Caenorhabditis elegans: one gene and its partner. The protein of the gene in region 2 interacts with the protein of the main gene of each other region in a pairwise test. Each region holds a gene or a part of one and is shown on either strand. Other genes may lie near its edges.

Region 1 (8,057 bases), on a different chromosome or scaffold from region 2:
ACCGTATTTTCGTTCCGTAAACGCAACAAAGATAACGGTCCCACTAAATAACTAACCCAATCGAAATGTTTTTGTGTAGCTTGACCACATTATCGTCGAGATCATGTGTGAAAATTATGAAAGTAATGCATCTATAGTGATATTTGGTGGGGTTTTAATTATCCAGGGAGTATACGGAAGGTAGGTTTCGGAGTTTATGATAAACAAATGTAAAAGTCACGAGTTCAGAGATACGAGGTTTTTGCAACAACCCGATGGAGATCGAGGCCAGCAATCTAATATTTTAAAACAAGAAGTACTTAAAAAGATGATAAAATAAGGCAAAAAATTAATTTCTGGAATTCGTGGACAGTGTTAGATACTGTAATAACTCTTCTTCCAATCAAGCACAGAATATCCCTTCAAGAACGCATCGCAGTCTATGTGTAAGTTAAAAATTAAAAAAATATACGATACAATATTAAAAAGAACAAAGATGAATACTTTAAAAAACCGAAGTAAAGCATGGTCACCAGACCTAGGTCCTTAGGCTTAGTTGCTTAGCTGCTAATTCGATACGATAGGTTACATGAAAATTGATCTATATGATGGATTATATATACAGGGTGCGATTAACGTTTTGAATTTTCAAAATATCCCCATCCGCATCGCTGCAGGACCTCAGAACTTTTGAGATCTCAATTTTTTGGCACGCAAGTAGGCACTCTGCGGGATTTCTACACTTTTTCTCGAGGAATCCACAAGTGTCTTACAAGTTTTTATAGTTCAAAGAATGCTCTTGGTCTAGAGATTCCTAAAAAACAAAAATCCAAAAAAGTTCTGTCATGGTATGACTGTGGCAGTACTTTGAATGACAAAGACGCCTTGAATGATACAGTCGCCAGAAAGGTGGATGTGGGCGGCGGCAGCAGTATCCAAGAAAATTAATTTTAGTACTTTTCGACACGTTTTGATCTGACTTTCAAGAATTTTTATAGAAGATTGAGCTCGGATGATTTTGTGAGTCGTTACACCTTGTGAAGACAAAAAAAAACTGAGTAAATTTCGCAAAGTTGATTTCATGAAATATTCAAAGGTTCTTGCTAGGCGCCAGTGTCGACACATAAAATTTTTATATGCTACGAAAACAATCAAAAACGCTTCTTAACTTTTTAAACTTTGGATTTAACATGAAAATCATACATCTGAAAATTATTGGCGTCCGTCGGAGGTGCGTTTGTGTTGGAGGTGCCGCGTGCCAAAACACCGTTTCGGCGACAGGGATCGTCAAATTGCCGAGGCGATAAAGATTGCACCTTATTGGGAAACATTACAAATTTTAGGTCAAATTGAAGGAAATTTATTCAGCTATCAGTATTCTATAGAAAATTGTACGTGTGAAGTGGCAGTCGCGCGAAAAAACCCATTTAAAAGAGCGCTTCACGTGTTACCATACTTTTGGCGCACCCTATATATATATATATATATATACATTTGGCCTACGGGACATTTTTCAACTGAGCAAAAGGTGTTGTACGGTTACATAAATGCCTCTAAGAGACGCTGTGTTTTATTACAATTGGGAAAAAATATCACGTAGGTTGTAAGCTGTTTAGTATAAAATGTTGCAAGCATAGCAACTTATTTAATGTAGAAAAACTTTTATGGTTTGCAATTTGACCAATTTTTGATAAATCCCTACTTCAAAAGACACTTAACCAGCTAGAAACGTTTTTCCCGATATGCTGAACATGTGCCAAAACGCATACTGTATTTATTTAAGCATTGAATTCCCTTGAACATAAAGCATGCGACCTGATTGAGGAAGGAGCACGAAATATAAATTTTATGATGACAATTTATGGTTTCCTCCCGATATTCCAGCTTGTTCCCTTTGCTGCTTCCCATCACACAGTTCTTCTTTAGATTTCTTTTATTGGATGGCTCCTCCCCTCGCTCCAAAATATTCCCCCCTAGAAAACTGGAGTCAATCTCCTCCCCAATATATTCTGCCACCCTGCTGCCCTCAATTTTTCCTGTCCTGTCATCCGGGATGAGCAATCCAACTGACAACAACTCTGCCACGTCATCGATAACACCAAATTGTGAGTTTTTGATGTTTGAAGTCTCTACAAATTTGGTAATTCAATTCACCTATTTTGTCAAATTATATCCAAATTATTTCCAAATTCGATTTGCGAGCTTTTTTGGGGCTCCACCTCCACCCCCTCTAATTGAATGGAATTTTAGTTGTTTTTTTTTCGTTTGAAAATTGGAGATTATTCATATGCTTGATTTGTCGGATATGTTCAAGAACGTTTGATTTAATTTCAAAATTTAAAAAAAAATCAAAATCTCTGTTTTTTAGATTAATGAGAAATGTTAATGAGAAATCTAGATTCGAATTTAACTGTGAAAGAGTATTAAAACTTTGTCCGTCGGGGTTCCCAACAAGCATTTTTCTTGAAATTTTAATACATCATGCAGTAGAACCTTAACGCCACATTGCAAAACACGAGCTTAAAGGTTACGTTTTCACTTTTTTTTCACTTTTCAGGGATGCATGTTTGAACTGATACTTTTAAAGTATTATCAGCATCTCAAGCTAGATCAATCAAATCTAATTTTCTTTCTCGCTCTCAAATTTCTTAAACTAAAATACTATAAAATACTCCAAGTTTTTCAATCAAAATAGTAAACTTTAACTGATATGAAGTCTTGTCAACACAACCTACCAACGCTAACAAAAGTTCTCTAATAAAATGAGTAATCCCCAAATGACCTCGAGAAGCTGCTGGAAGAAAAGTCATGTGAAAAGCATACGTTTCTTTTCCAAGGCTATCAGGTGAGATATGCGCCAAAATACGCATTCTCATTTTACATTTCTAAACAACAAATCTGAATTAAAAACATATTAGGTATTTATTTCTTTAATGAACATTCCAAAGGGATTTTATTATCCTGGATTTTGGACTGATGGTAACGATTCTTATTACTTATCAGAATAAATATCACCCAGATTCTAAATTTTGCCAGAAGAATGCGGTACACGGTCTCGATACGACCGATTTAAGCCCAAAATTTCCGGCAATCGTACCGGATTTTCTGGCAGTTTTCAGTACTGTAGTTCCCAACTCCTCGTCGTTGCGGATTAAAAAACTGACATTGAAAATGCGATTATCCGTTTCTAGAGAAAATTCTTCCGTAAAAAAGCACATAAACCCTTTTATTCGAAATTAAACCATTCATACAATAAGCCATCGTAAATTTCAGAAATCAAATGTTTCTCGAAAGCAATTATTCAACTTTTTCCTAAACTCATCTCATTTTTTTTTTCAGTTTCGGCGTTTTCCTCATTTACAACATACAAACCATCCGACTCATTTTCTTCATTTGAATCTGATTCTTCTCCATCAAAATCATCATCATCACGAAAGAATCGAGATAAGATAGCAGACAAGAAGCAACGTAGAAATCGTACAACATTCACGACATTTCAACTTCATGCTCTTGAAGCTGCATTTGATAAAACTCATTATCCAGATGTTTATGCAAGAGAAACATTGGCTGCTAAAGTTCAATTGCCAGAGGTTCGAGTTCAGGTGAGAACATATTTTTTATCTGAGAGTAGAGCAGCGAAAAATATTGAAATTTTATTATTTACTGTTAAATTAAAAACAGAATTTAATCAGTTTTCACATATCAATTTTTTAAGTTTACCAGAATAACCAACACAATTTTTTTGCAATGTACCAAAACTAGACTGACTATTTTGGCAAATCTAAAATTTCCATTTTGAGAATATTTTGGCATTCCGTCTTCAATATGAAATTTTAAAAAATTATATTGTAACATATGAATCAGTTCTGGTAAATCGCAAAAAAACGGAGGTTTCCTTGAATCTGAAAATTTACGGGTCACCAAGAACTTATTATTTTTACAATAGTGCCTCTTTGTTTTAGAACATCTTTTGCTTTAACTTTTTGCTGAAATAAAACTTATTTTTTTTTTTTAAATAGTATATATTATTCACAAGAGTAAAACTGAAAATTCACGGTCGACTAGCCAGTGTTGTTCAATATGAAAATGACTGCAGTGGAAGCTCTTGTTGTTTTTTTGGAGATTCGACTTTATTCGAAAAGCGAGAATTTGAATTGCTATCTAATAAATGGGGGGGGGGGGGGGGTTATAGAGATTAACAATTTATATTGTCAAATTTGATATTTTTTGTAATTCTCAAAATTAACAGAAAATTTGAAATACTCTGCGATTTGGTAATTAAAACATTTTCAAATTTGGATACGGTAATGTTCAATTTCGAATTTTTTTTAGTTTACGAAAAAATTTATCCAGCGTAGTAAAAGATTAACATATACATGGCACAAAAGTGAATTCACATATTTTCATTCTTTAATATAATTATGAATATAACTCCACTCGAGAGCTCATGACAATTAAAATTCGAACTATTTGCTCTTGTCCATGACCCTACTTGTCCTTTTTCCATGCAGCTGTGAAAACTGATCTCATCCGGAACAATTAGTAGTGTTAAATTGGCAGGTTAGCACTCCTGTCACACTTCCTTATGCTCTTCTGATTTTTGAGTCAAAAGGGGGACAAACAATAAACAGTAGAAGAAGAAGAAGAAGATAAGCATCTGACTAATCGACATTGTCTTCTCAAATTTCTTTTTCTTTTCCGTCACTTACATCCTACCAATTTAAGGATTACCTCGCCGAGTCTCGACACATTGTTGTCATACAAGGAAAAATATGGATGCTGGGGAGTGAAGAAGTACATTACGATGGACTTTGAAAAAATGAAAATGAAGTTCTATTTGTAAATTGGGGGGGGGGGGGGGGTGGTTATAGATTAACAATTTATATTATGAAATTTGACAATGCTCCGAAAAAATATTTTTAGACAATTCATTTAACGTATATTCTCTATAAGATATAATGATCTATAAAACACATGAAAATCATTAGATTTTTCAATATTTTCAGTCAAACAATCGGAGCTTTTTGAGTAACTTTGAGAAATAAAAAATCGGATTTCTGTTGGTTTTTCCTTTATTTCTAATTCGGTATACTTGGTGTAATTTTCCGGCGGACTGAGTTTCCCGTAAAAAGAGCGAGCGTTCATCAAGACAGTTTACACATTCTTGATGGGATTACTGTAGGTGGTGGATAAAGAAAGATGTTAGGAGGAACAAGAGAAGAAAGTAAAAACATGGCACTTTAATGGACAAGATGGGGCAAAGGGAGCATAGAGATTGACAACTTACTAATTGGTATACGGTAGATGAGGGAAATAGTGGCGGAGAAGTCGAATGGGAAAATAATAAATTGGGGAGGAACTTTATTTTAAATCAGATATTCAAAATCTACATTTGAAATTTAAGTTTTGAAAATTGAAGCCTTTGGTTTTCTAATGGATGGTGCAACTAATGGATGGTGTAACAAACTTATCATAAATGTTGCGTAAGTATGTAAGTCGCCTAGAAAATATTTTTATAAAGAATTGGCAATGGTCGGGAAGTTTACGTTAGAATTTTTGAAGCTTGAAAAAACGAAACTCTCAAACCTCCCACCTGGACGTGATTTTTTTCCACTGTAATTTCTTCCAGAGTGCAGATGGTAAAATTTTGTCAACAAAAAAAATTGTAGAAAAAATTATGGGAAACATTTGTTTAGTTAAAATCTTTTTGCGAGCTACTGTAGTTTTCGAGTTATACTTATTTGAAAAACAACAAAAAATCATCGCAAAATCAGAAACGAATATTATATTTTAAAAAATTGGGTCAATTGTTATAAACGTTAGGTAACTTTTATGTTCTGACTTTTCTGTAAATGTCCTATTCAATTCTAAATGTTTTACTTTCTTCTGTTTCAGGTATGGTTCCAAAACCGCCGAGCTAAATTTCGCCGTCAAGAGAAGCAGGATTGTCAAGGAGAGGAGAAGCATTCACTGAAAGATACAATGCCATCTTGGTTCGCTTCTTATGATAAATGCCCGTCTAATAGAGTTATCACATTTAGGTCATGGATGAGTGAGAATAAGACAGATACACCGCCAATGCTTCCTCCAGCAAATACACTTTCATCAACTCATAACAATGGAATTTCCGATGAATTCTTCAAGACTTCCGAGGGAAAAGAAGTTTATGGGTTTGTTTAAAAAAGTTTAATTTCTAGATTAAAATCAATATAAATTGGTTTTCAGGTTTCCATTCGCTGAATATGGGACTCCGGCGGACAACACGCACGTCAGCAAAACTGGAAACGTTTTTCATTTGAATTTCGAAGACAGTGATAAGAAATCAATGAAAAAAGTATGTTTCTAGTAAATAAAAAGCTTACGACTCGCCTAGAAAGTGAAGGAAATTCAGTGAAGAAAAAATATTTTTTTAAAAATTCAAGAAAACGGCTGTACGCCTTTAAGAGTACTGTAATTTAAAGCTTTCGTTGTTGCGGAATATTCGTGGATTTTTCATTCGAAAAATCATTCTTACGACTTGTTATTACGGGAACAATAAATCATGAGAATGCGTACTCGGTGCATTTTATTTGACGCTAAGAGATATCGCGCGTCAAATAAAATGCACCAAGTACGCATTCTCATGATTTATTGTTCCCGTAATAGTTTTTAATTAAAAAATTATTAATGAAAAAGGATGAAAATTTAATTAAAATGCTACAGAAACGATAGTTTGATATTACAGTACTCCTTAAAGGCACACACATGTATATATTTAACAAAAAAGCGACGCGCCGACACCAAGTACCGTATTTTTGGCTTAAAAATATCGAATTTTCGCGTCTGAATAAGCTTAATGTTTATTTTTCTGTAAAATTACTGAATGTGTATAAAATTGACCATGAATTTTTCAAATTGAACGCGTAAAAATTCCAGGAATCGCCTCAAACACCATCGACAAGTAGTCCATTCATTTCGGAATATCATCCACCATTTATCCCTTATTATATTCCAAATCAATCATTTTCCAATGCATTTAATCAATATCCAATGCCATTCCCCTATCCAATTCACTTTGAGCCACCACAACTTACTCATAGTCAGGAAAATTGTTGATTTTATATGGAAAACTATTACGAATGTTAGATTTTACTCATGTTTTTTTTTAATCTACTGATTTTATGATTTTTTCTTCAAATATCCCCCATTTCTTCAATCTTCCTTCGGCACAATAAACAGAAGTTTCCAAGGGGGCGGCGCACACCTAACACATTTTAGAGTGGCGCGCGAAACCCGTGATATGTCGGAGGCCGCAGCAACTATCGTCTAGCAGCCGGCTGTCTCATTTATTGCAGACCGGTGATGAAACTGTTCTAGGAAGTGCCGTCTTAGAAACAATGATTATGAATTGGACGCTGAGGTCACTGCAACTAAATTAATTAAAGATTGAGTATGAATTCAGAGAAGTTAATTTAACAAAGATTAGAGCTATGTTTTATTGTTTTGCTGAAAAGTTACAGATAAATCGAAGAGCAAGAAGTTTCTGAAGTATTTTCTCATGATTCAGCCAGATTATCTGTATCAGTTTGTTCTTACAATTGGAGCATCGCCACCAATGAGTTTTCAGAAATAATTTTCTAAAACATGATGAGCTTGTCATGTTATGCAAGGGAAGAAGATTGTAGCATTACAGTTCGTCGAAACGTACATTTACCTTCATGAAAGTTATGAAAACTCTGAATGGTTAAAATACAAATATAACAAATAATATTCAAACCACAAGAAGAAAAATCATTAATTTCTTGAAATTCTAAGCCACATACACCCATCGGTTATTGCTATGTGAAATAACACTCGATAAAGGGAAGGTGTATCGCCGAAAAATTGAGAAAAAAGTAGACGGATAGGGGATCCTTTCCAAGCGAAAAACTGGCTATTATGCAACACGCAGATCTACTTTTTTTGAGCTTTTTGGATACGTATATAATGGCAACGATTTTTACGAATAGACATCATCCAACGATGACAACATCTGGACAATTGGTTGCTGGTACTGCCGTTGCACTCTGCGGAGTTGCTATTGTTCCAGGTAAATTCAT
Region 2 (4,055 bases):
TCCTTCTGATCTCTAGATGCTTGAATTCCAATCAAGACTTTTCCGGCAGGATCCTTCATTGTGATCAGGATTCCTCGAAACTGATCATGATGTAGAAAGGATGTTGCAATGATCAGTCCATTATCATCAAGTACTTCCATTGTATCTTCCGTATCAGAACAGCAGCCAAATAGAGAAGCAAGACCAGTTTGTTTATAGGATCGTTTTGGCTCATTTCGAAGGAACTTGGCAACCGACTGAAATTGGAAAATTTTTTAGGTTTATAAGGTTATTAAGATTCGGTAATTCAGAGGGAAAAATATCTTCAAAAATTAAAAGTTAGGAGAAAATTAAAAGTTAGTTAGAGAGAAACTGTGTAGAAAAAGCTTGTAATCGACAAGGTGCCAATAGGCGAGTGCAGTTGCAGGGTGAAAGGCGAGCTACATACTTTTTTCAAAAAATGGCAAAATGGTCAAAACAGAAACGAGAAATTACGAAAGCTTTTACCTTTTTATCCTTATTCATAACTTTCAAACAAAACGGCCCATCCTTTGTAATTGGCATTGCTGTTGTATTTATCACATGGAATATCTGAAACTCCTATGAGTTTCCAACTCTAGATCAATTCCAACTAACCACTCTATTATTCAAATCATAAACTTTATAATCACTTCTTGCATGTTTCCTTTGCAATGATTCATTCATGTGCAAGTCGCGAAACAATGAAAATGCGGCTGCATTCTTCAGACGACCCCATTGTTGAGTTTTATCAACTGTCTGAATTTAGAATGATTTATATAGAATCAGTTGAATTGTGTTACCTGCTCGAACTCAATTTCCGCGGTGTCTTCTATCAAAGTTTCTCCTTTTTCGGACATTTTTGATAATTATTGAATAAAAAGTCTTTTTTAAAGACAATAAACGTAGGAATGAATCAGTTTTGAAAGAAATTGACGGAAGCGAAAACGCGGAAAGATTTTAAATTTAAATTGAAATCAAAGTTGAACAAGTTGAACAGGCCACGTTAAACTTTTTAAACAGAATTTTCAAATTCCTAACGAACCAAAGTTCGGACAATATTGAATTCATATATTGAATTCAATGCGACATTTTTTAGATTTCAAATAAAAATAAATAAAAAATCTAACTGTTACTGTATCGTCAATTGGGTCTAATTATACTCAAAGTAGTTCAAAAATGACCAAATATCATAATTAAACACTCCAAAAGTGTTTAGATTTTTCCAAATTTTCAGCCAAAGTTTTCGCATATTGCCAAATTTTCCAGAAGTTTTGGCATTTTGAGAAGGTTCGAGTATTGCTGCAAATTAGAATCTCATACATCTCATACAACATTCAAATAAAATAATGAGAACATTTTTTGAAAATTCAAATCATGAAAAAACATGAAACTCCCAAAAATATGATCGGGGAAACTGAGTTTTCCCCAATTTTTAATGTAAATCATTTCAAAAAATTTTCGACAACATTAAATGAATTGGTTTAAACATTTTCCCTACTGGCGATATTATACCTTCAAAAAATAAAATTTATACACAATGTTGGTGGTCAAGGAAATTTTTGACCTACTTATTTCCATTGATCTATAACTATTGATTCACAACATCTCCGCTCGACATGGTTTTTATTCGTAGTTTGGCATTTGTTTTTTTTTTGAATAATTATTTGTAAATTTATTATATTTTTTCAGTTTCAAAATGAACGAGCCCACGTACAACTACAATGACTTTTTGATGCCTGCATTGGCAGATGGACAACCTGATATTTCAATTGAAATAAGTGAAATTACGAAGAAACAGTGGAATCAACTTATTGGAATTCATGAAGTTGTAGTCTACAAAGACTGCAGGTAATTTCTGTTTTTATTATTTTATTATTCAAAATGTAAAATTTATTTTCCAGAAAACTCTTCCCAGCTGCCAAATTCTCAGTACGTGGTCTCGATCCGGCTCTCCTCTACTCGGTGGAGATTTGCTTTGATGTTCTCAGCCCGTTCACGTTCTCGTATAATAAGAAACTCGAAAAGTGGATTCCAACGAAAACACCCGTCAATTGTCAATCTTCGGCGCTGTCTTCAATGATTTGTGAAACAGGAGATTGGTTTATGAATGGAGATATGGATTTTGGTGCATTGAATATTACAAGCTCCCACGAAAAAGCCAAGGAGAAAATCGAACAAAACAGGATTGCTGTGAGTTTTGTAGAATTAATTTCATTATTTTTACATGAGCACGTGAATTGTAAAGTAGCTGGTGTTATGCACCATAACTTAAATGCAATCAATCATATTGACGCAAATAAGTGATTTTTTGAAATCATTGTGAAAGCTCGCTCCATGGTCAGGTGAATATGCTCCGCCCTCTAGCCATGGGTCTCGTTAGGTTTCTGGAGACAAAACCGTAAATTCAAACCTTTTCAATTCGTTCTGCAGACTTCACCAATTTACAGGTTTTCCGCCAAAATCAAAAACCTACCGAGACCCAACGTTTTGTGGCGGGGCGTTTTTGCACCTTGATTTCAAAAGGGGCATTTTTTGCGTCCCCAATAATCAGCATGTTTGAAAACCAAAACGATTAATTGCGCAATGGTCATTTAGACTTTTTTCAAATTTTCAGGTGTGTCTCTCCTCGAGAACAATGTATCAAATCCGAGTTGTGTTGTATGAGATGCAAAACGACGAACTGATATACCTGAAGGAAACGAAATTCGACGAAATGATATTCATCACTTGCACTGAATATCGTGGACAAGTCAATCGTGAATTGAAGAAGAGTATGAATCGTTTCTCAAGAAAAAGAAAGTATGAAATCAGTGGAACAAAGTGCCAGCGTTCGAAACGTCCAGCAAAACTTCCTGTCGAATCTCTAGATGAGAAGGAACTAAAAAATGCTGAAAAGGGAATCATGAGTTTGCTTGAATCATCACCTTCGTCACCATCGTACCTTTATCAATATCAATACAATTCTCCACAATCAATACCATCTTCTATTTATGACTCTCTCTACCCATCGTCTCCAGAAGAATATCAGATGGTTCATACTTTTCCACAAACAGACCAATTATCTCCTAGTTTTCAAACTTCGCCCACAGTCCATTATGATTTTTATAATCAGCAATATTATGACAATTCATTTCATGAAAACTATTTCCAGTCATACAATCGGTTATAACTTTCGATTTATGCTTATGTCTAGATTTATCCGGTTTCAAATTACTAACCTGTTTTTCTTTTTTATCACAACTAACAAGCTCACGTTTTATCATTCTTGAAATTTTTTCAATAAATAATGAAAATAAAATCAAAAGTGTAGAATTTGTTCTTAAAGGCGCATGAATTCATTCCAATGGGTCTCGTCGGGAGAAAAAGTTTATGGTAGCGCGTCTTGGTGCTCGGATTTTTTAATTATTTTTTTTCCATTTTAAAAATATTTTATGCTCTATGTTTGGTTATGGAAGCGACCACCGAAAAAGCCACATTCTTCAAAAATTTCTGTCAAATCTCTGGGGGAGAAATAAAATTTAAAAATCGGTTGTCTTATTCTGAAGATTATTTACGAAGAATCAAAGATGTCGATCAGTAAAACAAATCGAAAGAGAAACAAAAACAAAACTGGTATTCAAAATTCGTTGAATGAGATTTTTGACGCGAATTTAGCGAGACACTGTCTCGATTCTTTCTCAGATGACGTCGATTGACCCTGCTTCTTTTGTTTTGTTGCTATGCAGATCGTATGTCCTATGCAATAGCACCACACAATATGGGCGAAGATCAATGACACTCGTCCCACTCTTCTTTTTTCCTTCTTCAAATAGGCGGAGCATCTTTTCTCTATTTTTCCCCCGAATGTTGCCTCTATTTCTCTCTTTCTCTAAATATCTATTTGCCAGTCACCTCCTCCTCCTCCTCCATGAAACGCTATCTTTTGCTTGCAGTTTCATCGGTCTCGCCCACCGATGATGGTTGCGCGTTGTCCTGTAAACAGTTTTGTGTTGGGCTCCTCTAGTTTTGAATAGTTATGGCGCCCGCGTCCCCAGGACGAGCTTTTCGTGGCCTAG

The links.
Region 1: the proteins of tbx-36 (region 2) and ceh-8 interact in a two-hybrid assay, tested with the Caenorhabditis elegans proteins (one large-scale study listed by BioGRID).

What each region holds. Positions count from the first base shown.
Region 1 is NC_003279.8:8,244,872-8,252,928, reverse strand, and holds ceh-8 (Homeobox protein ceh-8), read left to right. Parts: upstream 1-1,980; 5' UTR 1,981-2,032; coding exon 2,033-2,084; intron 2,085-2,878; exon of another isoform or gene 2,879-2,912; coding exon of another isoform or gene 2,913-2,958; intron 2,959-3,318; coding exon 3,319-3,581; intron 3,582-5,874; coding exon 5,875-5,972; intron 5,973-6,020; coding exon 6,021-6,149; intron 6,150-6,204; coding exon 6,205-6,313; intron 6,314-6,894; coding exon 6,895-7,074; 3' UTR 7,075-7,424; downstream 7,425-8,057. Other genes in the region: col-63 (Nematode cuticle collagen N-terminal domain-containing protein), read left to right, coding at 7,981-8,047.
Region 2 is NC_003282.8:11,948,908-11,952,962, forward strand, and holds tbx-36 (Putative T-box protein 36), read left to right. Parts: upstream 1-1,662; 5' UTR 1,663-1,696; coding exon 1,697-1,848; intron 1,849-1,901; coding exon 1,902-2,190; intron 2,191-2,614; coding exon 2,615-3,169; 3' UTR 3,170-3,301; downstream 3,302-4,055. Other genes in the region: hdl-1 (putative aromatic-L-amino-acid decarboxylase), read right to left, coding at 1-236, 487-570, 616-756, 801-857.